Ovis aries: one gene and its partners. The protein of the gene in region 1 interacts with the protein of each later gene in a biochemical or structural test. Links are inferred from orthologs where the notes say so. Each region holds a gene or a part of one and is shown in the gene's direction. Other genes may lie near its edges.

What was found.
Region 2: of the proteins of PTPN11 (region 1) and CDC73, one has a biochemical effect on the other in vitro, tested with the Homo sapiens proteins (2 studies listed by BioGRID and IntAct). The link is inferred for Ovis aries from reciprocal best matches to the Homo sapiens genes PTPN11 and CDC73.
Region 3: of the proteins of PTPN11 (region 1) and SRC, one has a biochemical effect on the other in vitro, tested with the Homo sapiens proteins (2 studies listed by BioGRID and IntAct). The link is inferred for Ovis aries from reciprocal best matches to the Homo sapiens genes PTPN11 and SRC.
Region 4: the proteins of PTPN11 (region 1) and TXNIP are reported together in a solved structure, tested with the Homo sapiens proteins (2 studies listed by BioGRID, with this or other methods). The link is inferred for Ovis aries from reciprocal best matches to the Homo sapiens genes PTPN11 and TXNIP.
Region 5: the proteins of PTPN11 (region 1) and PECAM1 form a complex in vitro, tested with the Homo sapiens proteins (4 studies listed by BioGRID, with this or other methods). The link is inferred for Ovis aries from reciprocal best matches to the Homo sapiens genes PTPN11 and PECAM1.
Region 6: the proteins of PTPN11 (region 1) and FRS2 interact in a test that uses a peptide from one of them, tested with the Homo sapiens proteins (2 studies listed by BioGRID, with this or other methods). The link is inferred for Ovis aries from reciprocal best matches to the Homo sapiens genes PTPN11 and FRS2.
Region 7: the proteins of PTPN11 (region 1) and KIT form a complex in vitro, tested with the Homo sapiens proteins (3 studies listed by BioGRID and IntAct, with this or other methods). The link is inferred for Ovis aries from reciprocal best matches to the Homo sapiens genes PTPN11 and KIT.

Annotation. Positions count from the first base shown.
Region 1 is NC_056070.1:61,963,578-61,967,721, reverse strand, and holds the start of PTPN11 (tyrosine-protein phosphatase non-receptor type 11), read left to right. Parts: upstream 1-1,344; 5' UTR 1,345-1,551; coding exon 1,552-1,565; intron 1,566-4,144. UniProt on the Homo sapiens protein: Acts downstream of various receptor and cytoplasmic protein tyrosine kinases to participate in the signal transduction from the cell surface to the nucleus. Positively regulates MAPK signal transduction pathway. Dephosphorylates GAB1, ARHGAP35 and EGFR.
Region 2 is NC_056065.1:11,241,798-11,245,297, reverse strand, and holds part of CDC73 (parafibromin), read left to right. Parts: intron 1-645; coding exon 646-807; intron 808-3,321; coding exon 3,322-3,422; intron 3,423-3,500.
Region 3 is NC_056066.1:66,271,750-66,275,993, forward strand, and holds the start of SRC (proto-oncogene tyrosine-protein kinase Src), read left to right. Parts: upstream 1-1,444; 5' UTR 1,445-1,796; intron 1,797-4,244. UniProt on the Homo sapiens protein: Non-receptor protein tyrosine kinase which is activated following engagement of many different classes of cellular receptors including immune response receptors, integrins and other adhesion receptors, receptor protein tyrosine kinases, G protein-coupled receptors as well as cytokine receptors.
Region 4 is NC_056054.1:99,309,471-99,313,488, reverse strand, and holds the start of TXNIP (thioredoxin-interacting protein), read left to right. Parts: upstream 1-1,218; 5' UTR 1,219-1,484; coding exon 1,485-1,734; intron 1,735-2,225; coding exon 2,226-2,298; intron 2,299-2,411; coding exon 2,412-2,559; intron 2,560-2,767; coding exon 2,768-2,870; intron 2,871-3,003; coding exon 3,004-3,260; intron 3,261-3,364; coding exon 3,365-3,521; intron 3,522-3,632; coding exon 3,633-3,838; 3' UTR 3,839-3,915; coding exon of another isoform or gene 3,916-3,951; 3' UTR 3,952-4,018. UniProt on the Homo sapiens protein: May act as an oxidative stress mediator by inhibiting thioredoxin activity or by limiting its bioavailability.
Region 5 is NC_056064.1:48,348,768-48,352,842, reverse strand, and holds the start of PECAM1 (platelet endothelial cell adhesion molecule), read left to right. Parts: upstream 1-1,275; 5' UTR 1,276-1,304; coding exon of another isoform or gene 1,305-1,392; 5' UTR 1,393-1,426; exon of another isoform or gene 1,427-1,505; intron 1,506-4,075. Other genes in the region: MILR1 (allergin-1), read right to left, coding at 1,305-1,392. UniProt on the Homo sapiens protein: Cell adhesion molecule which is required for leukocyte transendothelial migration (TEM) under most inflammatory conditions.
Region 6 is NC_056056.1:150,335,485-150,339,700, reverse strand, and holds the start of FRS2 (fibroblast growth factor receptor substrate 2), read left to right. Parts: upstream 1-1,416; 5' UTR 1,417-1,764; intron 1,765-4,216. UniProt on the Homo sapiens protein: Adapter protein that links activated FGR and NGF receptors to downstream signaling pathways.
Region 7 is NC_056059.1:70,945,231-70,948,270, forward strand, and holds the end of KIT (mast/stem cell growth factor receptor Kit), read left to right. Parts: intron 1-320; coding exon 321-449; 3' UTR 450-2,540; downstream 2,541-3,040. UniProt on the Homo sapiens protein: Tyrosine-protein kinase that acts as a cell-surface receptor for the cytokine KITLG/SCF and plays an essential role in the regulation of cell survival and proliferation, hematopoiesis, stem cell maintenance, gametogenesis, mast cell development, migration and function, and in melanogenesis.

The DNA of each region.
Region 1 (4,144 bases):
GAAGGAAACGGCAACCCACTCCAGTACTCTTGCCTGGAAAATTCCATGGGTGGAGGAGCCTGGTAGGCTACAGTCCATGGGTGGCAAAGAGTCAGACACAACTGAGCAACTTCACTACTAGACTGCTCCTTGACTCAAATATCATCCTTAGTGAAGCTTTCCCTAAATACCCCCATTTAAAGTAATATAAAGGGCAATGGAGAAAAGAAGGGAGATGAGTATTGGGGGTATTATCTCAATTGTTTTATTTATTATCGATTACTGTAGCTCCTCCCATGAGAATATCGGGGATTTTTGTCTTTTCAGTTCACTTTTATCTCTATAGTGGAAAATCAGTGCCTAGCAGACAGAAAACGCTCACGTTTCCTTCTAATGATAATAGAGCTAATAATGACACACAAAAAAAGTGAAAAAGTCAAAGTGTTAGTTGCTCAGTTGTGTCCAACTCTTTGTGACTCCATGGACGATAGCATCACAGGCTTCTCTATGGAATTCTACTGGCAAGAATACTGGATTGGGTAGCTATTCCCTTCTCCAAGGGATACTCCCGACCTAGGGATTGAACTGGGATTTCCTGCATTGCAGGCAGATTCTTTACCATCTGAGCCACCAGGGAAGCCCCAATAACTACAGGAGAGAGTGAGTAAAAGTCGCTCAGTCGTGTCCGACTCTTTGCAACCCCATGGACTATACAATTCTTGGCATTCTCCTGGCCAGAATACTGGAGTGGGTAGCCTTTCCCTTCTTCAGGGGATCTTCCCGACCCAAGTATCGAACCAGGGTCTCCTGCACTGCAGGCGGATTTTTTACCGAGAACTTATTAAACAGACCAGGCCTAGTTCTAAACATTTTACATATTTAATCGTCCTCATAATCCTAAGAAGAAAATACAATTACTATTCTTTTTACAGAAATCAAGGATGGAGGCTCAGAGAAATCAACTTTCCTAAGGTTCAGTTCAGTCGCTCAGTCGTGTCCGACTCTTTGCGATCCCAACCTCTTTCCTAAGGTTACACAGCAGTAAGTGGAACAACTATTTGAGGAATGAAATGAATGAAATTCGACTTCACAGCGCAGGGATGGAAATTGACGCTGTGGGAGCAGCTAGAATCAATTCACGCGACTGCGTGTAACTTTGAGCACACAACGCACGGTTTAACGCCAGGATCTAAAGGAGAATGAGAAGGTCCTTTGGGAACAGCGCGGCAGAGGCTCCACAGATCCACTGAACTGCCATGACCAGCCTCAGCGCAGAATGGAAGCAGGAAGTAGCGGCGGGCGTCGCGTGGGAGTGACGTCACGGAGGAGCCGGCGGGGAAGGGCGGGGGAGGAGGAGGAGGAGGAGGAGGAGCGAACCGGGCTTGGGGGGCGGCTGCACAGTCTCCGGGCTCCTCAGGCCTTGAGGGGGGTCTGCGCGCGGCCGGCTGGCTCTGCCCGCCCCCCCCACGTCCGGTCCGGAGCGGGCCTCCCTCGGGCCAGCCCGATGTGACCGGGCCCAGTGGAGCCTGAGTAAGGAGCCGGTTCGTCGCGGAGCCGGAGGGCGGGAGGAACATGACATCGCGGAGGTGAGGAGCCCCGAGGGCCTAGCCCGGGCCTCGGCCCGGCCCCCGCCGCTTTCAGTCAGCTCCGCCCGGGAGGGGGCGGCTCGGCTGGGCTTCGGACTCCTGCCCGGGGTCGCGGGGCAGGCTCCGTTCCAGCCCCCTAAGCCCTCCAGGGCCCCGGGGCCCGGCCCTAGCGCGCCCCCAACCCCTCGGGTCCTCATTCATTTCCTGCCTCCACGGAGTTCCGGCTCCCGCAGCCCTGGGGATGCCCGTCAGGACGGGGACAGGTAGAGCCGCCCGGGGAACCGCGGACGCTAGCGGCTCGGCTCGGCGCGCCGCATTCCTGACCCATTGCCTCATGAGAATTGCCTCATGGTGATTCCGAAATAACCCCGCTCACTTAGGGGAGGCTCCTCGGCCCGGGACGCGGGAGGGGAGAGGAGAGAGTTGCGCGAGGCCAGGCCGATAGTCGAGCCTTTTTGGGTCACTCTGCGTTTTGCGCGCATTTGGGGGCTTTACTCAGGGTCCTTGACCACTTTGTATGCCTCTTTGCATCTTCTTCTCCCCCCCCCCCCCACCCCTCACGTGCCAGAAATGGAAAAACTGACTATATCTGCAGCTATTAGAAGTATTTCCTTCCTCTGCGATCTTCGCTTTGGGAGGTGGGAGGGAAGGGATCGTATCTCTAGTTATTTTAATCCTTCACCACAACCTTAAAAGTCAGGTAACATTAATTACCTCCGTTTTACGGATGTGGAAACTGAGGCTCAGAAGAAACATACTGGTAAATGACAGGGTTTGAACCTAGAAGTCAGAAGGAAGATGAGTGAGTTAATGAGATCCTTGGAAAGTAGTATAGTAGACTATACTACTAATTGCTAACATTTATTTAGCTCTTACCGTATGCCAAACACATTTAATCCTTATAACCCTATCAGGTAGGTACTGTTATCCCGCTCTAAAGAGAGTAAATGAATTTCAGAAGTTAAGCAACTTGCCTAGTAGTTCTAGTGCTAGTGTTGGTCGCTCAGTCGTGTCCGACTCTTGCCTAAGGTCACTCAATCAGTAAGTGGTGGAGACAGAACCCCACTGTTAATTGCTATTATAACTATTGCCAATCATTTGTAAGCCTTAATTTTGTTGTTAAATATTAGTATGATTGATTGTTTTCAGATAATGATCCTGCTATTGTATTGTCATTCTGTATAGAATTCACACTGTCTTAGACATTTGGAAAACTGTTTCAAGCTGTTGGGGTTATTGACTGAGAAACTTCAAAACATTAGGAATGTCTTCTCAGAAATACACCTGCACATTATTCATTGATGGGATGAAAAGAGTGAAAGGAGAAAACTGAAAACTCAAGCAGTGAGTGATTTGGACAGGTCTTCTGGCAAGTGCTTACAGATCTGGGTAATATATAATTGCATTTCAGCAGAACAGCGTATAGCCTCAGATGTTCTAATTCTTTAGAGAGCGTTTAAATAAAACAGTTTTCTATTCTTTAATCTGTCAAATAGTCATTGAGCCTTTTGTTCCTTGTGTCTGCTTTTCCAGACAAGTAAGGATCTGCTTCTTTTAGGAGACAAAAAGTCTGGGGACTGGGGGTGGGGTAGGGGCTGGGTAGTAATAGACCCTACATTGTCCAGCTTGTTAATTTAGAAGCCAGGAAGTGTGAGAAGAGCCAAAGCAGCAAGTGGTAAAGATGACAGTTTGAAATGAAGTAATTCCTCCTCTCCTCTTCCGGCTCTCCCATACTTGTTTTGGAAGAGAAATATGTGCCCCCTAAGAAGTCAGATTATGATTGTAATGCACACACACACACACACACAAATGATTGTAATGCACGACTTCCCAGGTGGCTCAGTGGTTAAGAATTCACCTGCCAATGCAGAAGACTCAGATTGGATCCCTGGGTGGAGAAGATTCCTTGGAGAAGGAAATGGCAACCCTGTCCAGTATTCTTGCCTGGGAAATCCTATGGACAGAGGCGCCTGGCTGTCTGCAGTCCATGGAGTTGCAAAAGAGTCAGAGATGATTTAGCAACTAAATAACAACAACAACAGTGCACACAGTTGGGGATTATTTATTATTAGTTTTCAGATCATAGGTCTTTTATTATTTTTAAACCAGCTTTATTGAGGTATAAGTGACATGCCACAAATTCCATATATTTAAGCATACAATTTGATAAGTTTCCACACTTATACACTCAAGAAACCAGCAATACAATCAAGATAATGAATATATCCGTCACTCCTGTGATGGCTCCCGGAACCCTTTATAATCCCTTCCTTGTTGCCAGGCAGACACTCTTCTGCTTTCTGTCACTATATGTTAGTTTGCATTTCCTAGGATTTTATACAAGTGGACTTTTGTGTGTGGCTTCTTATGCTCAGCAGAATTATATTGAGGTTCATCTATGTTGTTGTGTATGGTAAATAGTTCCTTTTTATTGATCAGTGATATTCCACTGTATGCCTGTACCACCCTTCATTTTTCCATCCAGTTGTTGGTAGACATTTGGGTGGTTTCAGAGTTTGAAGTCAGGTGAAGTCGCTCAGTCGTGTCCAACTCTTTGCGACCCCATGGACTGTAGCCTA
Region 2 (3,500 bases), on another chromosome or scaffold:
GATAAATGTCAGAAACGTTAGATTGAATGAAAGGAGCCAGGCATGGAAGAGTACATTCTTGTGTGATTCCATATATAGAATTCCTAGAAGTCACCTGTGATGATGGAAAGCAGAGTTGTGTGGTTACCTGTTGGGGAAGAAGTGTAGAGATTACTGAAGGGTGCAGGAGGAAATTTCTCTGGTCTGTTGCACGTGTTCTGTATCTTGGTGGGTGTGGTGGTTACCTTGTGGAAAGGCGTATTTGGTGACACTCCTTGATGGATTGAATCACCTATCTTTATCTAGCCGCATCAGCTCCATTTCAAGTGATCTTTGATTTATAGTAAAATTTCCCTTTTCTTAGCATTTGAGAAATCAAGGATTAGTGTGGTTGTGTATGGAACCATTGGGAATGCTAAGTGTCACACTAACACACGCAGATTGCGTCTGAATGTGAGATTCACACACAGCGACTTCTCACGTAAGTGAGCTTTACTTCTGTTTGGCGTGCAAAGGAAAGACCCATATTCTGTATATGCAGATTGAGTTTATTTTTAAAATAATGTTTTTGGTTTAAAACTGTCATTTTAAAAGTAATTTCAAAGTACAGTTTCTTTTCTCATTTAAGATTGTTGTGGAATCATTTTGTCTCCTGTTTTTTAAAAGATTTGTTCCATCAGATGAAAAGAAGAAGCAAGGCTGCCAACGAGAAAATGAAACTCTAATTCAGAGAAGAAAAGACCAGATGCAACCGGGGGGCACTGCCATTAGTGTCACAGTTCCTTACAGAGTAGTCGACCAGCCCCTTAAGCTCATGCCTCAGGACTGGTGAGTTAACTGACGCTTTTGCATAGTCCTTCATTTGTTGTGTAATTAACAGATAGCAAATTTTATCATGAATTCGAGATACTGAATTCTATCCTTAAAACCTGTGTTAGTATCTGATTTAGTCCTCAATAATATTAACGTTCTAGTATTAAGTAAATATAATTTGGACGTCTATAACAAGAAGCACAAACTTGTGGAAAACAGTGAAAAGTTTTCCCACTTGTCCACTTATTCTGGATCAGCTTTTGGAACAAAACTTTCAAGTAGACTAATGTTTTAGAGAGCCTATATTTTAGATTTTTGGTTTGGAGAATTCTAATTTTCCTTGGTAAAGAAATGGTAAGTGAAAGCATTGTTACTTTCATTGTGAGGGGATAATTTAATGAAAATAATAACCTCATCATCCCAGTTCAGCTCTTTTATTGAATTAAAATATCCTTTAATAAAATATTGAGCTATTTATAATATAAAGTGCCTATATATTCAGATACATGAATTACCTTAAATTATTTCATTAATCTAAGCCAGAATAAAAATACATAGTCCGAGTGTGCATTTCTCTGATACAGAGAGTGTAACACATTGACTCATTACCCGAAATTTACCTTTGACGTACTCATTAGTCTTCAGATATTAGAAAATCAAGCCAGTGAGAATACTAGTATGTTAAAGACTTTGGTGAAGACTCAAGGGCTGTCGTATTGGAATTCTGTCCTAGTACCTAGCAGAGACACTTTGAGTTACATATGCAGTGTAAGACGAGCATTTCAGGTTGTCTAAACTTTGCAGGAAGTGGAAAGGCGTGCCATGTGTACATTTGCACAGATTTGCAGGGCGCAGTCATGCAGGGCGCAAGTGCCGGCACTGTGCATTGCGCTGCCTTTGTATATTAGCTTGGGCCCTGGCCATCAGTGTCAGCCTAGGGAAGGATTTTCCTTACCTTTCTTCTTCTCTTCTCGTTAATTGTCCTAAAGGGGAATTCACCGGGAGTCGTATTTTTATTATCCTGCTTCCCTGCTGACCCTGTGAGACACAGAAGGATCTGGGTGACCTCTGTCTGACAAATTCCCTTTTGTTTGGCAGGCACCTTTGTCCTTCAACTAGTGTGTGCTGCAAGTTACATCATAAAATTGAGAGGCTATTTAATAGTGTGCTCCATTCCCAAAGATGGTTTAGGTAGTGTGGAGCATATATCCTATGAAATTTTTAATTTAAGATTTAATTTTAACCATAAGAGCTTTTGAGCTGTTAAGAATTTTAAGCTGTGGCTTTTCACAGTAACTATGTTGTTGTAGGTCTTTAACTTGAAGGTAACCTTGGCTTAATACTCTCTTGGATGCGTAATCTAATGCAGTGATTATCACAGTATGGTCTGTGGTCCTCTGGGCATTCCCAGGGCCCTTTAAGGGAGTCATGAGGTCAAAACTGTTTTCCAGTATAACAGTGAGTTGGCTGTTGTCATGATTTATCAGTCCCCATATAGGACGGTAGCATGACCAGTCATTGGTTCTCCCCTCTCTCTGTTCACACCCTCCTTTTCTCCACGCTCTTGCTCCCTCCCCGCTTCCTGCCTCCTGGTCTCCAACATACTCTGCTGTTCTATAAAATAGGGGTAATAGGTTACCTCACAGGATTATTTTGAAGTTTAAATGTATAGACGTGAGTAGGCTGTGTAGACCAGCACTGGCACATAGTGAATGCTTGTAGTAAATCTTACAATGTTGGTTATTATTGTTAATGTTACTATTTTGTTTCCATTTCTTTAGTTGTAGGCTTAAACTGTTTATGGTAGTTGTTTTTATTGTAATTTCTCAAGTTAATTAATATTTTGTAAAGAAATGTAAGGCCCCAGAAAGAGATTTGTGCTTTTTTCGGAAAAGGAAGTTAAATGTCTGGGAAAAACTAGTTGCTTTAGTGCGCGCGCACACACCACACCAAGTAGAGAATTCAGAGTGAGTGAAATAGTTGTAAAACAATTGAAAAAGTTTAGGTGGTTTCTATACTCAGGTTATTTTCCAGATAATCAGAACTCAAACTAAGGTGTTGGAGCTTTAGTGAGTAGTGAATTCAAAATAGTGAAATACTGTAATTTATGATATTTTTAATTAAACATTTAAGATGTGTTTGAATTGTAAATGATTTTAAAACTAACTTTTTCAATTAACAGATACACTATTGTTCCCTATTACATTAGAAAAATAGGCCCACTAATTAACAGATCGGGCAGAGATAAAAGGCTGAAAGGATCTCATGTAAGGACTGTGCATGTAATTATGTTTAAATGACTTAGGTGTTAAAAACAATATATGGGGAGTATAGCAGTCGTTAACACACTCTATTGCTGTAACATAAAGAAAATGGTGGACGTGCAGCACTGTGTTTCCCCTCACAGACGTGTGGACAGGAGACTCCACTGCAGGAGTGATGGTGAGACTCTTTCCCTAAGGGTTGTAGTAACTGAGAATGCCTGAGCCACTCAGTTTCCGCTCTCCCCTTCCTCTTCTCCACTAACAGGGACCGGGTTGTAGCAGTTTTTGTGCAGGGTCCTGCGTGGCAGTTCAAAGGTTGGCCTTGGCTTTTGCCTGATGGATCACCAGTTGACATATTTGCTAAAAGTAAGATTCTCTTTATTTTTACTGCCTATCTAATGTAGAAATGTTTTTGCTCTATTATTTAAGAGAAAGAGCCATCTA
Region 3 (4,244 bases), on another chromosome or scaffold:
CCGTTTCATAGGCGAGGGGACCTGGGCTGGGGAAGGTGATGGACTCGTAGAAGGTACAGCAGCTGGGCAACCAGTCTAGATTTGAACCCAGATCAGTCCAGCTTAAGGCCTTGCTCATTCCTGGTCTCCCAGGTACTGTACTGTACCCTGAGGCCCTTGCCTCCCACAGTCTTGAGTTTCCCTCCCTGCTCCTCTCAGGAGAAGTCCAGGCTTCTACCATTTGACCTGGACTGGGCTTTACTTTCCCATCTGTGAAATGGGAAAACTTTCAGAGAAGGAAAACAGAGGCAGATGGTGGCATTTAAAGCTGGATTCAGGCCCACCTTCCCCTGTGCAGTAATCCCAGGAGGACCTGTGAAAAGCCAAAGGCAGGACTAGCACATGTGCTCAGTTGCGTTTGACTCTTTGCAATCCCATGAACTGAAACCTGCCACCAGGCTCCTCTGTTCGTGGAATTTTCCAGGCAAGAATACTGGAGTGGGTTGCCATTCCCTTCTCTAGGGGATCTTCCCGAGCCAGGGATCGAACCCACGTCTCCTGCCCTGGCAGGCAGGTTCTTTACCACTGACTATAATTGCCACTGAATACCTGCTTTGGCCCCTCCTAAGGGGCTTACTCAGAGAAGGCAATGGCACCCCACTCCAGTACTCTTGCCTGGAAAATCCCATGGGCGGAGGAGCCTGGTAGGCTGCAGCCCAAGGGGTCGCTAAGAGTCGGACACAACTGAGTGACTTCACTTTCACTTTTCCCTTTCATGCATTGGAGAAGGAAATGGCAACCCACTCCAGTGTTCTCGCCTGGAGAGTCCCAGTGATGGTGGTGGAGCCTGGTGGGCTGCCGTCTGTGGGGTCGCACAGAGTCGGACACGACTGAAGCAACCTAGCAGCAGCAGCAGCAAGGGGCTTACTGGAAGCCCTTTATAAGTTCCTTATCTGGAACTTATTGGCTTCTTAGTTACTTTTTTTTTTTCTTCTGATGCACTTTAAAATGAATGCATAGCTATTAAGATAAAAATGCTGCTCCTTACCACACTGTCCTGCCTGTCTCAGTCCCCAGTTTGGGAAATTCAGGTTAAGGCCAGGGTCCAAGACCTGGCTTTTGTCAGGTGAGTCCCTTCTCTGTGCCTCAGTTTCTTCATCTGTAAAATGGGGGTGATCATTGGCCTGCCCAGCCCACTTGGTTGGTAGGAATAGATCCTAAAGTTGACCTGAACAGCTTAGCATGGCACCGGGTAAGGAATGAGTTCTCCATCAGTGCTGCTGTTACTGATTATCAGTAATAATTTCATGAGAGGTAGACTTGGGGTCAGTTGGGTGGGTGGGTTGGGAGGAGTTGGGGAGGGTATTTTGGCTTGAGAGCTGATGGGTGGGTGCCCCATGGGAAGGGAGCACTCTCAGGGCGGGGTAGGGGGCGGGGCTTCCGTGGCCGGAGCCCCCGCCCTTCCATTCCCTGGCCGCCGGGACCCCGGGCGTGGGGAGGCCGCGCGCGGGACTCTCCCAGGTCACCGGCGGGGACCCGTCCCGGCACGCTTCCTTCTTCCTCCCCCTCCCGGCGGCCTGCCGGGCCCCTCCTCCCTGCTCGCGCGCTCCCTCCCTCCTCTTCCCCTCCCCGGGCCGCCGCCTCCTCCTCCTCCTCCGCCTCCCTTTCTCTCTCGATCTGTCTCTCCTGGCCCGGAATCCATTCCGGCCCGGGAGCCGGAGCGGCCAGGCCGCCGTGTGCCCGAACCCCTGGCCGTCCGGCGGTCCGTCCTCCAGTGCGTCTGTCTGCCCGGTGCGTCCGTCTGCCTGCCGGTCCAGGTGAGCGCCCCCCGCCCCTCCGCCGGCCCCGGCTCCCGGCCCGCGTGAGGGAGCCCCCCGCCCGGGGACCACCCTGGCGTCCGATCGCTGGGCCGCGGGGGCTCCTGCCCCCCTCCAAACCTCACCCCTCGAGCCAAGCGGCGATCCCGGGGCGCAGGGCGGGCGCACCGGGACTTGTCTGGCGCGGCCTTTTGTTGTGATGCCGCGGGGGGGGGGGAGGGGTTTGGTGGGGGGCGTAGGGGTCTTGTCCTCGCGAGGACCCCCCCCTCCCGCTCATGCTCCCTCTGCGGGCCCCCTGAGAGCAGCGAGCCGGGCCCGAGCCCCCAGGCCAGGTCTAGGCCAAATCTGAAATCTGAACCAGTCGGCGCCGCCTCTGGCCGCCGCTACCCAGCCTGGCGCCCCCAGCCCGGGATGGGAGGTGGAGAAGGGCCGGCAGGGTGGGCCTGGGGGGGCGCCGGGCAGGGGGTGCCGGGCCAGAACACCAGGATCTCCTTGTCCTCGTGGGGCCTTGGGTAGGGCCTGGTGCTGCCGGCCTGGAAAGGACTGGGCCAAACTGTGGTTGGTCCCAGCTGCCCACAGCCCCCAGCCTCCTCTCTGGGCAGGCCCTACCTCCGGTCTGCTCAGAAGTTGGCAAAAGTTTAAGATTTGGCCCCCAGGCCGGGTCCATCTGCCTGCCTGGGCTGGGGTTGGTGGTGGGTTTGAGTCCCAGTGGGGGCTCCGCTTTCCTGCCCTGCTGTGCTTCCTTGAGCAACTGCCTGCCCTCTCTGAGCTGGGGGCCCTTGTCAGGTCCAGCTGTGGGCCTGGCTGAGCCTACTGGGCTGGTGGAAGGACTGGGTGAACAGAAGGGGCTCACCTGTGGGGTAGCAGTTCAACCTCTGGGGCCTTCAGGCGGACTTGAGAGTCGGCAGAGCCTGTGGGGCCCTGGGTGAGGTGTCCCCGGCTTCAGGGACTCTGTCCAGTTGGGGCAGTGGTCTCTGGATCACCTGGGGTGACTCCAGGCCTGGCTTCAGTCAGCTGAGATCAGACTTGATTTTAAGAATGGAGCAGGCTGACGCTGTTGCTGACCCTCATCTTGGCTTTCTGGCTGGAGAGACAAGACCTCGGCTTCTGGTCACACTGGGCTACCTGGGCCAAAGGACCGCCCCTCTGAGTCTGCTTGTGTGCGGTGGGGATCCCCAGGGGAAACCTGTAGGCACTTCTGCAGGTAGGGCCTTGGCATGTAGTAGGTGTTCAATAAATGAGCATGGCACTGGATGAATGGCCTGAAAAAGATGGGCATGAGATGAGATGGCTGGCTCTTGTGGGGCTTATTCCAGAAGAGGGTGGATCGGTGTCCCCAAAGCCACCTCCTAACCCCTTGAGGAGGAACCAGCCTCAGTGCAGTCTTGCCACCCAGCACTTGAGACAACTCGCTTCTCCTTCTGGCCTCAGGTTTGTTCAGTATAAAATGGGCTTGTGAGAATGATAGCTGCTAACATCTATCGAGTACCTCCTAGGAGGTAGGGACTTTTGTGTATCCCCTTTTTGCTGGGGAAGAAACTGAGGCTCTGAGAGCGGAAGTGACTTGACCGAGCCACATAGTTTGAAGCTGGAATGAGAGCCTAGAGCTCAGAGTGCCCGGTCGGGCTGTCCTTGTTCCCTTCCCGTGATGGAGGAATGGGTGTTTCTCAGTATGGGACCAGGCACACGACAGTGTTGGAAGAGACTCGGATGAGTGATTGTGTGGATGCCACGAGGCCCTTTGGGTGAGGTGGTGTGCTGTGGTGATGTGGTCTTTCCACCCAAGGAAATGATTTACAGTGTGTCACCTCTCAGCTGACTGCCTGCCTAGGCCCTCCTGTGTGACTCCAGGGCCTTTGCTCCTGAGGGTTTCCCTGCCGGGAGTGCCCTCTCCTCTAAGAGCTGCTTGTCTGCTTTTGCTCTTTAAGGCTTCGTTTAAGGCCCACCTCTTCCAGGAAGGCCTCCCAGCTTTCTCCTCCTCTCCCCTAGCCTCTTCCCAGGCGTGAAGTATCCCCAGTGCATAGCCAGTTCCTGCTTTGGCTTCTACCCTGATTGTGACCTGACCTGGGAGTGGTGGGGTGGTGGGTGGGGGGAGGTTGTCTGGCTCCCTCAAACCCCAGGAGCCAGGAAGGAGACGGCTCAGTGGCCTGTGACCAACCACCCATTCCCTGAACCTCAACTGACCCCATTTTCCCAAACCTGCCGAGATACAAGCATCCATGGCCCTGTGTTGAGTACCTATGATGTTCTACGGGCTTTGATCTTGAGCTGAGCAGTGTGTGATGGGTTAGCAGTGGGAGCTGTAGGAGACCTTGGGAGGCTTCCAGGAGGTGGTGACAGGGGCGGGGGGCGGGGAGCAACATTTTCCTCAACAAAGAAGGGGACACAGTACTCTTTTCTTCCTTTCAGCTCAGACATGTCCCAGGGCCCCTGGGGGAGGCTCTGGGA
Region 4 (4,018 bases), on another chromosome or scaffold:
TTCCCTCAAACAGAAATACGGCCATCTTTCCCTGACACTTTCCCTCTGACGATTGACAACTTTCCTGCTTTTAACTAATTTGAAGGCTGTGAGGAGTGTGGGCAGCAGATTTAGAGGTGTACCTCTGATTTAGTAAGTTGGAAGGGGGAGGAAGACGAGACAGTTAAAATAACTCAGGAAAAAGATGACTAGAGTGAAGCCTTTTTTTTTTTTTTTTTTTAATTACTTTCCTGGAGAAGCAGGGAGTGAGATACTCAGAGCCCAAAGAACACACTTTAACGAAGAGGTAATGAGGTAACTGAGAGACCATAAATAAAGTGTTCCCTAACTCTGCAGATCAGGGACTGAAGAGATGACGGGATAAGTGGCAGGATGTGGATACGCCCGTACTGTACCAGTCCAGAGAACAGAGAGAACCGAGTGGAGGACGCAGGGGCAGAGGCACACGGACCGGAGCCCCCAGCCTCCAGCCCAGGGGGCTAGAAAGGGAGTGGGGGATGGCTAATCAGTCCCATATATTCACTTTGCTGTGACCGCTGAAGAGAGGTTAAAAATTTGTGACAAGTTCTCTTTTCCTTCCCACACAGCCGGGATTTTTTATGGGGGGAGCGGGGAGGAGCAGGGGGTTGTTTGTTGATTTTTGAGAGATGCGGGGCAAGAGAAGGACAAAGCGGATCTTCCTCAACAGTAACGACTGCACTCCCTGTCCTCCGCCCCATCCTCAAGTATTCTTGGAGCTCTGGGATTGTTTTTCACACGACTTGCGATTTGTGAGCCGGGAATAAACAGTCACCTCTAAATTAATTACATTGGCTGAGGTTAGGCATGGAATTCCATCATAAGCACATTTTCCTTTTACCTCAAAATAATAGCTACCACTCCAAAAGCATCCACACCCGCCCTTCGAAGACCACTGGCCTCGGATAGATTTTGGGGTCAGTGAAGCATTCCTTCCTTGGGCACACGGGAAGCCGCCCCATAGCCCCTCCGCCCCCTCCTCCCAGCCCCGCAGCGATGCACAACAACCGTTTTCCCCGCCAGGAGCACACTGTGTCCACGCGCTGCTGCGACCTCGCTGATTGGTAGGGCTCCTGGTAAACAAGGAGCGGGCAGCCAATGGGAGAGCTGTGCACGAGGGGAGCACGAGCCTCCAGGCCAGCGTTCGCGTGGACCTGCCTGCCGGGCTACTATATAAACCAGTTTCCGGCTCTCAGTTGCAAACTATCGTTTCGTTTTCTGAGGTGGAACGCGTTAAGCCTTCCCGCCGAGATCCGGAGCTGTCCTCCAGCTGTTAGAAAGAAAGAGCTTATTTTTCTTTTGCAATCTCTTGATACAACTCGCGGCTTACATTTTTGGGTGGACGTGTTTTCGAAAATTCAGTAGAGAACTGAAAAGTGAAAAAGTTTTAACTTACAGCAAAAGGTCCTTTGATTGAGAGTTTTGTTTTGTCCTCATTTTTAACTCTTAAGCAGACCCAGCCCAACATGGTGATGTTCAAGAAGATCAAGTCTTTCGAGGTAGTTTTTAACGACCCCGAAAAGGTGTACGGCAGTGGGGAGAAGGTGGCTGGCCGGGTGATAGTGGAAGTGTGTGAAGTCACTCGAGTCAAAGCTGTCAGGATCCTGGCTTGCGGAGTGGCCAAAGTCCTGTGGATGCAGGGATCCCAGCAGTGCAAGCAGACGTTGGACTACTTACGCTACGAAGACACGCTTCTCCTGGACGACCAACCAGCTGGTAAGTGACCCAACTGTTTGCTGGAGGGTGAGAGCGGATTCAAGAAGAGAATTGATACGGATAAAGCCCACACTGTAGATCCTAAATTGCTCGGGTTGTGGGGTTTGAATTTTGTGTGGCTTCTTTATCTTTTTTAGCTTTAACTTGCTAACCCCTACCCCCACCCCCAAAAAAGGGTGATTTGTGCAACTTCTCAGGGTGCTGTGTTCTGTGGGTGATTCTGAGGGATGTTGACATAGCTATTGAAAGGTTTTTATGTCTTAATAAATTGCTTGTTCTTTGCTTGCTTCTTGTTTGAGATGATGATAGGTTGAGTCTTTCAGCACTGCAGGGCTTTGCAACTTTTTGCTCAGCGAATGCATCAGAATCTCATTTAAGAACATAAGGGGTTCTGCATTACTCTTGCACGCTGCCCAAGAATTCCTTATTGCATAGAGGCATTTTAAGTATAACAAGAAACCTAGAAGCTTCTCCTTTTTCTCTTCCTTCAGGTGAGAATGAGATGGTGATCATGAGACCTGGAAACAAATATGAATACAAGTTCGGCTTTGAGCTTCCTCAGGGGTAGGTAACTAAATGCATCTGTGATCTTATCTGTCTGTAAAAATCTTTCCCTCTTTTGATCAGTTACTCTTCTTGGAGAGCATTTTAAAATTGTTTCCTTTTTCTTGATAAAGGCCTCTGGGAACATCTTTCAAAGGAAAATATGGGTGTGTGGACTATTGGGTGAAGGCTTTTCTTGATCGTCCCAGCCAGCCAACTCAAGAGACAAAGAAAAACTTTGAAGTGATGGATCTAGTGGATGTCAATACTCCTGATTTACTGGTGAGATTCATTTTAAAAGTCTCTTCTTCTGGGTTTCAGAGATAAGTAGTTAGGTTTTTAGGGCATTAAAGTGAAGCCCGTCAGGGAATCAAGTCCTTAAGTCATCAAGGTGGGAGAGAAAACTACCTACTTTAAGCAGTGGAAAGAGAAGCAGAGAAAGGATCTCTAGAAATTCTCAAAACGTCTTTTTCCACTTCATTCTATATAGGAACCTGTGTCAGCTAAAAAGGAGAAGAAAGTTTCCTGCATGTTCATACCTGATGGGCGGGTGTCTGTCTCTGCACGAATTGACAGAAAAGGATTCTGTGAAGGTAAAAATCTAGTGCAGAAAATGAGAGACCCTTAAAACAGGAACTGTGGGTTTGGGAGTAAGGGCAGGAGGCAGGGACAGATTAAAAGTCATGGATTGCACTGAGCATCAGTTTTCATCTTTCTCATTGCCAGGTGATGAGATTAACATCCATGCTGATTTTGAGAATACGTGTTCCCGCATTGTGATCCCCAAAGCTGCCATTGTGGCCCGCCACACTTATCTTGCCAATGGCCAGACCAAGGTGCTGACGCAGAAGTTATCATCAGTCAGAGGCAATCATATTATCTCCGGAACCTGTGCATCATGGCGTGGCAAGAGCCTTCGAGTGCAGAAGATCAGGCCTTCTATCTTGGGCTGCAATATCCTGCGAGTTGAATACTCCTTACTGGTGAGTGGGTGGATGGGGTTGGAGAAAGAAATTGTTCATTGGTCTAAACGATAGTGGTGTTTCTCCAGATTTCTAGCCTAACAAACTGATGTCTTCCTTTCTAGATCTACGTTAGCGTCCCTGGCTCCAAGAAAGTCATTCTTGACCTGCCCCTGGTTATTGGCAGCAGGTCAGGCCTCAGCAGCCGGACGTCCAGCATGGCCAGCCAAACCAGCTCCGAGATGAGTTGGGTAGACCTGAACATCCCAGATACCCCAGAAGGTGAGCCAGACACCTGATCTCATTTTTTTCCCTCTGGCCTGGGTGGGTTTGTAAAATTGTGGTTAGGCTTTTCTTGGCTGGGCTTCTTATCTCCATGCTTTCTCTCTCTAGCTCCTCCTTGCTATATGGATAGCATTGCTGAAGATCACCGGTTGGAGAGCCCCACTACTCCTCTGCTAGATGACACAGATGGTTCTCAAGACAGCCCTATTTTTATGTATGCTCCTGAGTTCAGGTTCATGCCACCACCTACTTACTCTGAGGTGAGAATTGTCATTTACCACTACATTTGTCCTAAGCCTTTTATAGGAAGTTAATTTCTTGGGATTGCCAGACTGGATTGTTGTGTTTTTTCTTACCCAAACTAAAATACTCTTTCTTTTCTTCCTCCCAGGTTGATCCCTGCATCCTGAACAACAATGTGCAGTGAGCATGTGGAAGAAAAGAAGCAGTTATACCTACCTGTTTCTTTTCATCTCTCTTCCTGGACTCTTTGA
Region 5 (4,075 bases), on another chromosome or scaffold:
AGATTCAAGATAAGACCTCACCTCTCTTTCCAGCCAGATTGCCATCCCTAAATGTCCTTTATATGGGCATGCTAGGGCTTCCATAGTCAACAAACATGAGAAAGAAGCACAGCTTTATGAGTGATGAGGCAACCGCGGACTCAAACAACATTCAGATATTATTTCTGTACTCATGAGACTGACACAAATTTAAAAAATTGATTGTATCCACTGCCAGAGAGAGGGTGAGAAACTCACACTCAACCCATGTCCGTGATCAGCGTTGGTGAACATGCACCAGTTCAGTGTGTTAGGAGGGCAACTTAGCATCAGCTGTAACAATTCAAACGGACATGGCCTTCGACCCAGCCATTTCACTTCTAGGATTTTATCCTACGTGAACTCTCACACGCTCATGTGTCCACAGAGGATGTTTACGGCAGTATTGTTTCTATAAGGAATAAAATGGAACAACCAATACGGGAATGATGGTTCGATGAATTATGACTAAGTCCTATTGTGAAATGCCATGCAACTGTTGAGAAGAAGGGAGCGAAACCTACAACTTCCTCTTAGAAAGATGTCTGGGACGTGTTAATTTTAAAAAGAACAGGCCACAGAAGAGTTTGTTTGCTTTGATATTGGAGCGAAAAGGACTGTTACTAGTGTTTGCTCCTGGACACAGAGATGGGAGAGGGACTGAGGGGATCTGTTTATAGCAGAACATTCACCATTTACAGTATAATAACAACAACGACCTGGGCTGGCATTTACTGATGGCTCCCCCATGCACTCGGCTCTGTGCTGAGGGACAGGGCTTGTCTCAGTCTTCACAACAGCACTCCCAGGGAGGTGCCTTTATTTCCCCCGCTTCACAGAGGATAGAAATTAAGCTTAAAGTGGTTTTCGTCATGCGCCCAGACTACCAGGTGGAAAAGGGTAGAAACAAGGTTAGGACCACAACAACCTGGCTCTATGATGATAAACTGTCTCCCAGGATATGTTTTTAGTGTCGCCTGAATTATTTTACAACGATAGTGTATTGATTTTCTAATTAAAAAACAACAGAAAAAGAAAGAACCGTTTCATTGTTTTTTTTTAAAAAACAATCTCAACATTTTGTTTCTTAGTTTCAGGAAAGATTCTCTGACTCCCTCCCTAATATCACTTCATTTTAAACAGTACAAAGTGGAAAAACTCTCCTCTTTGGCTGCTCAACAAAAAGCACAGAAAACCCTGCTCGCGACAGCGCATGACTGAAGCTGACGGTCTCACCGTTTCGGTGAAAGTGGCTTTAATACAACAGAGAAGTAAATGAAACTTACCATTTGGTTTTCTCAGTCTTTCACAATCCAGTGCAGCCTTTTGAACTGAAAGAGAGAAAAGGAACACAAGAAAACTATTTTTCCACATGACGTTTTGGTTTGGAGATTCAAGCTTCAAAATGGTAAGTGAGCCTCGGATGTGACAGAAAGAAAAATGCCCCAAAGAACAGCTTGTTTAAATAGCCCCACATTCTCTTGAATGAAATCGGGGAGGAGGGCAAAGGAGTCTTGATGGCCTCCCTGCCTCCCACCAGCGAATCACAGAGAGAACTTCCTCTTTTTCGACGAATTTAAAGAAATTGGAGTTGTGTGGACTAGCCTGATGTGGGATGACTGGTTGGTGTGACCCTGTGCTCCTCTGTGAGCACTTGTAGGCAGAGAGGGATATGGCAGGTTACTTCTAATTCAGGCTGGCAGGGAAGTGGACTGTGAGTAAAAGAAAAAATGTTGCTACTATGGGCTTCCCTGGTGGCTCATCGGTAAAGAACCCACCTGCCAATGCAGGAGACCCGGGTTTGATCTCTGGGTGGGAAAGATCGCCTGGAGAAGGAAATGGCAACCCACTACAGTATTCTTGCCTGGAAAATCCAGGGACAGAGTAGCCTGGCAGGCTATATAGTCCATGGGGGTCACAAAAGGATCGGACATTACTTAGCAACTAAACAACAACACTGTCTTTATGCAAACCTACGTGATCATCTCCTTTTGGATTCAGCCTGGGTCAGAAGGAAGTTAGTGGAAAGTTTGTTTTAGTCTTGGGGAGCAACCTTGACTGTCTAGAGAGAGACACAGAAACGTGGCAGCAGAAATGCCTGACTGTGTTAAACGCTGGCTTCTAGGCCCTGCTCCAGGCTTCCTGGGGATGAAACCTGGGACTCTGGATTTTCTCCAGGGCCCCAGCAGCCTCAGCGTGTCTAGATTACAGCCCCGAAGTGGCTTGTGATTCACTTGCACCCAATCCAGAATTCTCCTGACTCTGCCAAGTGGATGCATGTTCTGTTGTCATCAGCATGAAGTGGAGAGTGGGAAGGGGGTGAGGGGTTCCTGAGTGGTTGGGGCTGTGATTGGCCTGGGCCCCTTGGGTTACTGGTTCTTTTTTTCTTTTCTTATTTGTGTGTGTGTGTTTTTTTGTTTTTTTTTTTTTGGCTAAGCTGCGCAACTTGTGGGATCTTAGTTCCCTGAGCAGAGAACGAACCTGCATCCTCTGCAGTGCACGTGCAGAGTCCTAACCACTGGACCGCCAGGGAATTCCCAGGTTACTGGCTTTTGTTGCCTGAAGGGTTGACCCTGACGGTCTCTTCGTTCTCGTGGATAGGTGCCCTCTCCATGGGGAAGACACACCCCTGCCTGGGTGCAGGTTCTTCCGAAACATCACCCAATCACCAGTATTAACTCGCTCCAGGGGCTCCTTGCTTGGGCTCCCCAGGTTCCCAGCCTGTTGTGGTCAGTCGTGCCTAGCCCCACACCACTGGGGGTCTGAACAGAGCCCAGGGCTTGGCTGCCGTCACCCCCACTTCCTCCCTATCTGCTGCCACTGTCTGGAAGCAAATCATCTTAGTCCTCAGTTTGTAAAAGAAAAATGCAAAGTTAGTCCTCCGTTTGTAAAAGGACTTTATTTCCTTCCAACAGTAAAAGTTACTTCTTAGGCACCCACCCTTCCAACAAAGACAGCACTCAGTGACTTCATATGGCAATATTGGTGGCAATTTCTCTCACTAAAGGAGAGTGTGGAAAAGCACCCCACCAGTTTAATCTCTGGTGGCATAACTCTCAATGCGAGAATTTCTGCTAAGGGGAATCAGAGGTTTTGGTTTTGACGTTTCCCACCAGTGTCTTATCCATCCTGGCCTGAGAACTGTCATGCCCAGAAGGATGGGGGCTCTTTCAGAAAAGCTGACATGTCTGGGGCATTTCTGCATGTGGAACTTTCAGCTCGGGCAGGAAGCCTGCAGACCGCAGCAAAGACAGCAAAGGAAACTGGAGGAAGTTCTTCTTAGGGCTGTTAGTAAACGTTACTGGGAGTACCTTATCGAGGCCCCCCTCAAAGGATCATAGTTTATCAAAGATTACATAACAAATCAGATATAAAGTCTCAAGTGGAAAAAGAAAAAAGTTCATCCATGGACCTGACACGTTGCATAGAGCCCAAATCATGACGAAGCTGCACTATCATGGTCCACCGAAATTCATCATATCAATAAACTTGATAAAAATAAATATAACCCAGGGACTTCCCTGGTGTTCCAATGGTTAAGAATCTGCCTTGCAATGCAGGGGACGAGATTTCCATCTCTGATCTGGGAATTGAGATCCCACATCCTACGGGGCTACTAAGCCGATGCGTTGCAACTTCTGAGCTCGAGTGCCACAGTCAGAGAGGCTGAGTGCTGTAACTAAGACCTGACACAGCCAAATAGATAAGATTGTACTCATTAAAAAAATAAATATAGTCAAACAAACAGTAAAGTTAGGCTTCTCTGTTGTCTAAGAGCTTTATACTGATCATCTCATTTACTCCTTAAGAAACCTCTATGGAGAAGGCAATGGCACCCCACTCCAGTACTCTTGCCTGGAAAACCCCATGGATGGAGGAGCCTGGTGGGCTTCAGTCCATGGGGTCGTTGGGAGTCAGACATGACTGAGCGACTTCACTTTCACTTTTCACTTTCATGCATTGGAGAAGGAAATGGCAACCCACTCTGGTATTCTTGCCTGGAGAATCCCAGGGATGGGGGAGCCTGGTGGGCTGCCGTCTGTAGGGTCGCACAGAG
Region 6 (4,216 bases), on another chromosome or scaffold:
AGTATATAAATCCTAGTGAAACCTTTCAGAGAATAATAATGTGGAGGGGGTTAGAATTGTGAAGAGACTGTGGACTGGAAAAAGAAGAAGGAAAATGAGAAGTCGGGAAAACTTTGGATGAACAAAGCAAGGGTAGAATGACTGTGAACATCAGACTATTAAATTTTTACTTTTGAAACTACATTTGTAAACTTGGATAATAACTATGCATAAGTGGTATTTGGTTGCAATAAAAACTACAAAGTCAGTTACATATTTGTCTTGTGTGGTGAGATGAAGAGTCAGGCCAGGAGTCAGACAACATAATGTTGTGTCTGGTCTTTGACACTGACCATCTCTATGCTCTAGTCATCTCATCTGTCTGTGTCAGCTTCTACATCTGTAAAGTGGGCAGAATGCCAGTTATGCCTATTTCAGATGAACTTGCACAAATCGGATTTGAGTATACATGAAAACACTTTGTATGCTGTTAAATGCTATGAAGCATAAGATAAGTACAGACTTTTTCTGTGCTTTCTACCAGCTCACAAAGACGTTTCTTTCTCTTTGTCATTGTTCAATCACTCAGTCACATCCAACTCTTTGTAACCCCATGGACTGCAACATGCCAGACTTCCCTGTCCTTCACTATCTCTTGGAGTTTGCTCAAACTCATGTCCATTCAGTCGATGGTGCCATCCAACTATCTCGCCCTCTCTTGCCCCCTTCTTCTCCTGCCCTCAATCTTTCCCAGCATTTCAGGGTCTTTTCCAATGAGTCGGCTCTTCACATCAGGTGGCCAAAGTATTGGAGCTTCAGTTCAGCCTCAGTCCTTCCAATGAATATTCAGGACTGATTTCCATTACGATTGACTGGTTTGCTTTCCTTGCTGTCCAAGGGACTCTCGAGAGTCTTCTCCAGCACCACAGTTCGAAAGCATCACCCAACCATCCAGCAGGATGATTCCACTCCTCATGTTGGACTTGTCGCATCATTCCACCCACTACCTACAACTGATTGGATCAGGATTGAACACCGAATCCTAGATGGACCCATTAGATTCTCTCTTCTGAGAATTTAGAATTGGGACCAAGATTATCCAATTAGAAATGGTCATCTGAACAGAAATATCAACTCTGGAGTACTAGGTTGGCCATAGGCTGCCTGCTGAGAGTATGGAGAAGTAGAGAGTCTTTCTCTTGTCTAGAGAGAGAATAAGGCTGATAGGAAGGGAGAAACTGTGATGAGAAGGCACAGGTTAATACTTCTGATAGCTGCACAGCTCTGGGATCTTCCTGCTGAGGCCTGACTATTTTATTGCTTCTGTAAAACACTCCTGTGTCCTACAGATAAAATCCTTTTTTTTTTTTAACATATTATGGCTCAAGCATTTTTCTGTAATTTGCAACTAAAGAATCTTAGCTAAAGCAACACAGTGGATTTAATAGCTTCCCCCTCCAAAAAACATCATACCTACCCAGAACTTCAGAACGTGTCCTTATACGGAAATAGGATCTTTGAAGATATAATTAATTAAGATGAGGTTTTTGGGCTAGATAATAGTGGTGACTGGGGTTTTCATGAGAATACAATAGGACACAAGAAATATACACAGAGAAATCCATGTTGAAATGACGGCGGGCAGAGGCTAGAGTTACGCTGCCACAGGCCAAGGAATGCCTGAGATCACCAAAAGTTTGAAGAAACAGAAATTCTTCCTGAGATCCTTCAAAGGGAGTATAGTCCTGCTGATACCTTGATTTCAGACTTCTGGCCTCCAGAACGGTGAGAGAATAAATGTTTTTTCTAATTTATTTGTTTTTTAATTGAAGGATAATTGCTTTACAGAATTCTGTTGTTCTCTGTCAAACCTCGACATGAGGGAACTCAAACAGGGGTCTGTATCAACCTAGAGGGGTGGGATGGGGAGGGAGATGGGAGGGAAGTTCAAGAGGGAGGGGACATATGTATACCTATGGCTGATTCATGTCGAGAATAAATTCATGTTGGTTTAAAGCCACTCAGTTTATGCTGCTTTTTACAGCAGTCCCAGAAAACTGGTACAAGTATTATAGGATGGGATGTTCAAGCTCTGTTATAGAAAGGTCCAGGCTCTACACTAAGAAGAAACCCTTGAATCTCGTAAGTGCCTTTTAAGCCCACAGCCCCTTTCTGAGAAATAGGCCATTTGCAGTTTGTTCTGCATAAAGCTGTTCTATTTCTTGCCAGGTGAAACAAACCCTACTACTCCGGCTACACTTGGTTGGAGCCAAAGTCCCATGGGAATGGGCTAGCCAGAAGGAGGCCAAAAAGAGCTTGGTGTCACTGTGTATTGGACAGTGACAAATGGACTCAACCAGGAAACGTAAATACTAAATGAACAGTAGGCAACAATCCAATCCATGCTGAGCCTTTGTTTTATTTCTCCATGAGCCTATAGATCATCCCTGTCTGGGAAGCTCTGTGACCAGGAATGGCTGCCCCGGTGACAGGGGGCTCCTCATGCTGCTCTATGAGTCCCAGCTCTAAACCTCCATCATCAGAGACCATTCGGGCATGCTTCCTGTTTCAACCTGTCTTAGTCTGCTCAGGCTGCCATGACAAAAAGCTATAGACTATGATCTCAACATCAAAAATTTATCTCTCACAATTCTGGAGGCTGGGAAAGCCAAGATCAAGGTGTGGACCCATTAAATTCCTAATGAGGGCCCTCTTCCTGGCTTGCACATGACCACCTCCTTTGCTCTGTTCTCACAAAGACTTTCTTTGGTGGGTGCACACAGAAAGAGAGAGAGAGTTCTATCCTTCTTTTTTTCTTTTTAAAATTTTATTTATTTATCTTTGGCTGTGCTGGGTCTTCGTTGCTGCACAGGCTTTTTTCTAGTTGTGGTAAGTGAGGGCTACCCCCTAGTTGTGGTGCCCGGGATTCTCACTGAGGTGGCCTCTCTTGTTGCAGAGCAAAGGCTCTAGAGCAAGGCTTAGTCGCTGTGCACACCCTTAGCTGCTCTGTGGCATGTAGGATTCTCCCCTATCAGGGATCAAACCTGTGTCCCCTGCATTGGCAGGCAGATTCTTTACCACTGAGCCAGCAGGGAAGCCCCTCTATCCCTCTCATTATGCTGCTGTTTTTTAGTTACTAAGTCGTGTCTGACTCTTTGTGACCCCATGAACCCCATGTGACCCCACTAGGCTCCTCTGTCCATGGCATTTCTCAGACAAGAATACTGGAGTGGGTTGTCATTTCCTTCTCCAGGGGATCTTCCCTGGAGAATCTTCCCAACCCAGAGATGGAACGTTTCCTGCATTGGCAGGTGGATTCTTTACCACTGAGCCACCTGGGAAGCCCTCTTCTTATAAGACCACCAATTCTGTTAGATTAGGACCCCAACCTATGACCTCATTTAACCTTAATTATCTCCTAAAAGCCCTATCTCCAAGTATAATCACATGGGAGCCTAGGGCTTCAACATATGGATGGCAATAAAGACTAAGCCTACAGTACTCAAGAATGAATATGATGATCACGAAGATTTAATATTCATTTTGGGGGATGGGAGTGCAAATTAAAAATTTGTCCCCAATTTTGCCACTATTTCTCCTCCTTCACTCCTTGGTGATGTCACATAAAATCCCCAGTTCCCTGAGGTCTCCCTTTCAGAATGTCTGCTGGAGAGCATGTTTCATGGTATTGGCCCAGTCCTGCTAGAAGGCAAAAATGTGTTCTTGAAGTATACACACAGAGTCACTGATTTTTCTCCTTATTGTTTTGTTAGAGTCTTTTTACCAAACAGCTGGTTCATTCTTGACTCCAATGCAAAAGTTACACTGAAAGACAATCTAGGATTATTTCTGTCACCTTGCCAAGTCACAAAGTGCTTCTAAATTATAAATTATTATACATACATGTATATGTACATATACACATTTAAGAATATATATTTATATTATACATATATTTATAGATATATTTTATGTGTATTACACACACACATATATGTATGTCAATTATACTTCCTATGTATCTGATATTGTACTAAGTGATTTACATATTTCAACAGATTTTATCCTTACAACAATTTCAGGCTGTATTACTATTTTATAGTCCAGAAAATAAAAGCACAAAGAGGTTAAATAAGTTTCCTAGGCCCATACGGCTGCTACTAATGCTAGGACTTGACCCACACAGACTGGTTTCAGAGTTCATGCCCTTAACTACTATACTTTGCAGCCAAATTGA
Region 7 (3,040 bases), on another chromosome or scaffold:
TGACATCAGCCATTAGATGGGAATTGGCTATAGAAATTTATGCACCTTTTAAAAAAAGTTAGGTCGTTCTCATTCCTAGATGCATCCCAGCAGAAAAGCACATTTTGGACTATCACTTCTTATGTAATCAGACCATGGGAAAATGAGGGATAAAACAAAGCTTATCCTTGGTCAGTGTGGTTCAGTTCTTGGCTGTAAGGTCTTGTCAACCTCCTGGCTGTAAGAATCTTCCTAAGTTATTTGCAGTTCCTAAGCTGCACATGTGCCCCTTTGTTCCTTGTGGGGGACTGGCGTATTGACTGTGGATTTATTTTCCTCAGATTTATTCCAACTTAGCAAACTGCAGCCCCCACCGGGAGAACCCCGCGGTGGACCATTCTGTGCGCATCAACTCTGTGGGCAGCAGCGCCTCCTCCACGCAGCCTCTGCTTGTCCACGAAGATGTCTGAAGCAGAGTCTGCATCCAGGGGTCTCCTGAACAACCCCGGCCCCCCTCTCTTTTGGTTTTTACAATGGTTCCTTTGTTTTCCTTCGACTCGAATCCTACTCAAGGGTAGTGGACACCCTGTCTTTATGAGCACCCTTTAGTGGCCGATGATTTTTGTCATCAGCTACCATCGAGCTGCCTATGTTCCTAATAGCACACTAGCCCCTGCTAACGAGGAAACTTCAGACTTGGAGAAAGGGTGGGTGGGATGGACTGGACACACTGAGTCCTTCCCAAGGTTTCTCCAACTTCTATCCGAAAAATGTAGTTGATAGTTTTGAGTACATAGCAGTAGTCACCTTCATTCCTCATAATCACCCATGATGGTATGATGATGCAGCAAGGCTAGAAGCTGAAACCTTATCCTTTGATGTGGGAAATAGAATGTTATTCAAAGGCCAGAAGCCTATGAATATCTGGGCTCAAGAAATCTAGTATTTCATGCTGGGAGTAAGACATAGGCCATGGAAAAATGCTCTCTGCTCCTGAATAAAGACTGCTGGGCATGAGCCTTTGTGCTTCTGACCTGGTTTCTAAGTCAAATTCACTAATAGTAGCTGAATTGGAGAGATGGCCTCCCAGCCCACATTTTGTATATACTCATCTATAAATTGTACACATTCACATATTGAGGGGGGGGAACCCACAAGGTGTAGTTTCTGAATACAATTCTGGCTTGAGTCTGCTGTGTATAGGAATAACTGATGAGCCAGAACAAGTTTGAAGGAAACAGTGCTTTAAAAAAAAAATTATTGCCAAGCACAGTCTTAACAAAAATCTCCTTTTGTAGCCGATGAACTTGCTCTAGAGATTGTCCAGAACAAGCCGACCAGCTTCAGAATGTCATCGTGTTCAGTGGATTTGATGCCTTTTGCAAAAGTGATTTATTGCATGACTCTGGCAGGAGTGACAACCAGTGCTATCTTAGTTTGGATTCTTCTGTAGCCAAAAATAAACTTTAGATTCAGCCTCCATCACAGGCATGTCCTGGACACCTGGCCAGTATCTATATAAGTGTGTATGTGTGCGTGTGTATGTATGCTTGTAGACAAAATATTGTGGGAGTAGTCTTGCCTTGAGCCCAGGAGGGTCCTTCAGCACCCAAGAAGTAGCCTGGCTTTCAGCAGCAGCCCAGCTTTTGTTTCACTTCACCTTGCTGTGTAGAGAAGCTTACCAAAAGCTTACATAGAGGCGTGCTTAAGTCCATATTTATTTGCAATCCACCTGCACTTAAGGCACTCTGTTACTTACACTCAACATACTGTACCTGTTCCTTAGACCTTATTAATGCTACTCTCCTACTGAAACATTTCAATTCTACCCTTTAGGCTGTAGCCTGGATATTATTCTTAGTGTTACCTGTTTTTTTGTTTTGTTTTGCCTCTACCCAATTATAAGAGTCCATGGGTACATGGCAGGGTTTGTGTGTTGTCTCGCAAGATTCAGGTATGCTGCCCTCGTGGTTTTCCCCTCCTAGGTCTCTCTGCTTTCATTTAGAGAACTGTGGCCATTTATCTGAAAGTAACCATTTGCACTGGAGTTCTATGCTCTCGCACCTTTCCAAAGGTAACAGGTTGGGGCGTTTTGTTGCTAATGTAAGACGTTTTTGCTGTTTGCCACACTTTGTCTGAAAATTTCCTTTGCGTTTCTATTGACTTTGGTTATAGTAAGAAAAGTGGTTGTTAATTGTAGATGTCTAGGTACTTCAGGGGCACTTCACTGAGAGTTTTGTCTTGGATATTCTTGAAAGTTTATATTTTTATAATTTTTTTTTTTTACATCTGATGTTTCTTTGCAGTAGCTTAATGTTTGAAATTATTTTGTGGCATTTTTTTTTTGTAAATATTGAAATGTAGCAATAATGTCTTTTGAATATATTCCCAAGCCCATGAGTCCTTGAAAATATTTTTTATATATACAGTAACTTTATGTGTAAATATGTAAGCGGTGCAAGTTTAAAGGATGTTGATGTTCTATGTGTTTTTTCCTGATATGTTGTCCAATTGTTCACAGTTCTAAAGAATTCTAATAAAAGTGTAAATATAAAGTCAAATGGAATTTTTATTTTATTATTTCAGAGTCAGTGAAATTAAACTTGAAAGTGTTAAAAGTGTTAAAGTGCATTCACCCTGACATTAGAATGGTTTGTACCTAGTATGTGTAAGGTGAGGTTTCCCAGATGGCTCATAGGTAAAGAACCCGCCTGCCAATGCAGGAGACTTGGGTTCGATCCCTGGGTCAGGAAGATCCCCTGGAGAAGGAAATGGCAACCCACTCCAATATTCTTGCCTGAAAAATCCCGTGGACAGAGGAGCCTGGTGGTCTGTAGTCCACGGGTCACAAAAAGTCAGACATGACCTTGCGACTGAGCACACGCACATGTGTGCGTGTAAGATCCATGCAAGGCTATCAGATCACTAGGATTTGTATACTTAAAGATTCAATAAACATTTATTAAGAATTTGTATGTGCTGTTTTCTCATTTTATTTTTACAACCCAAGATCCCCATTTAAATTGAAAAGTAATATAGAAAACATTGCTAAGATGATTAT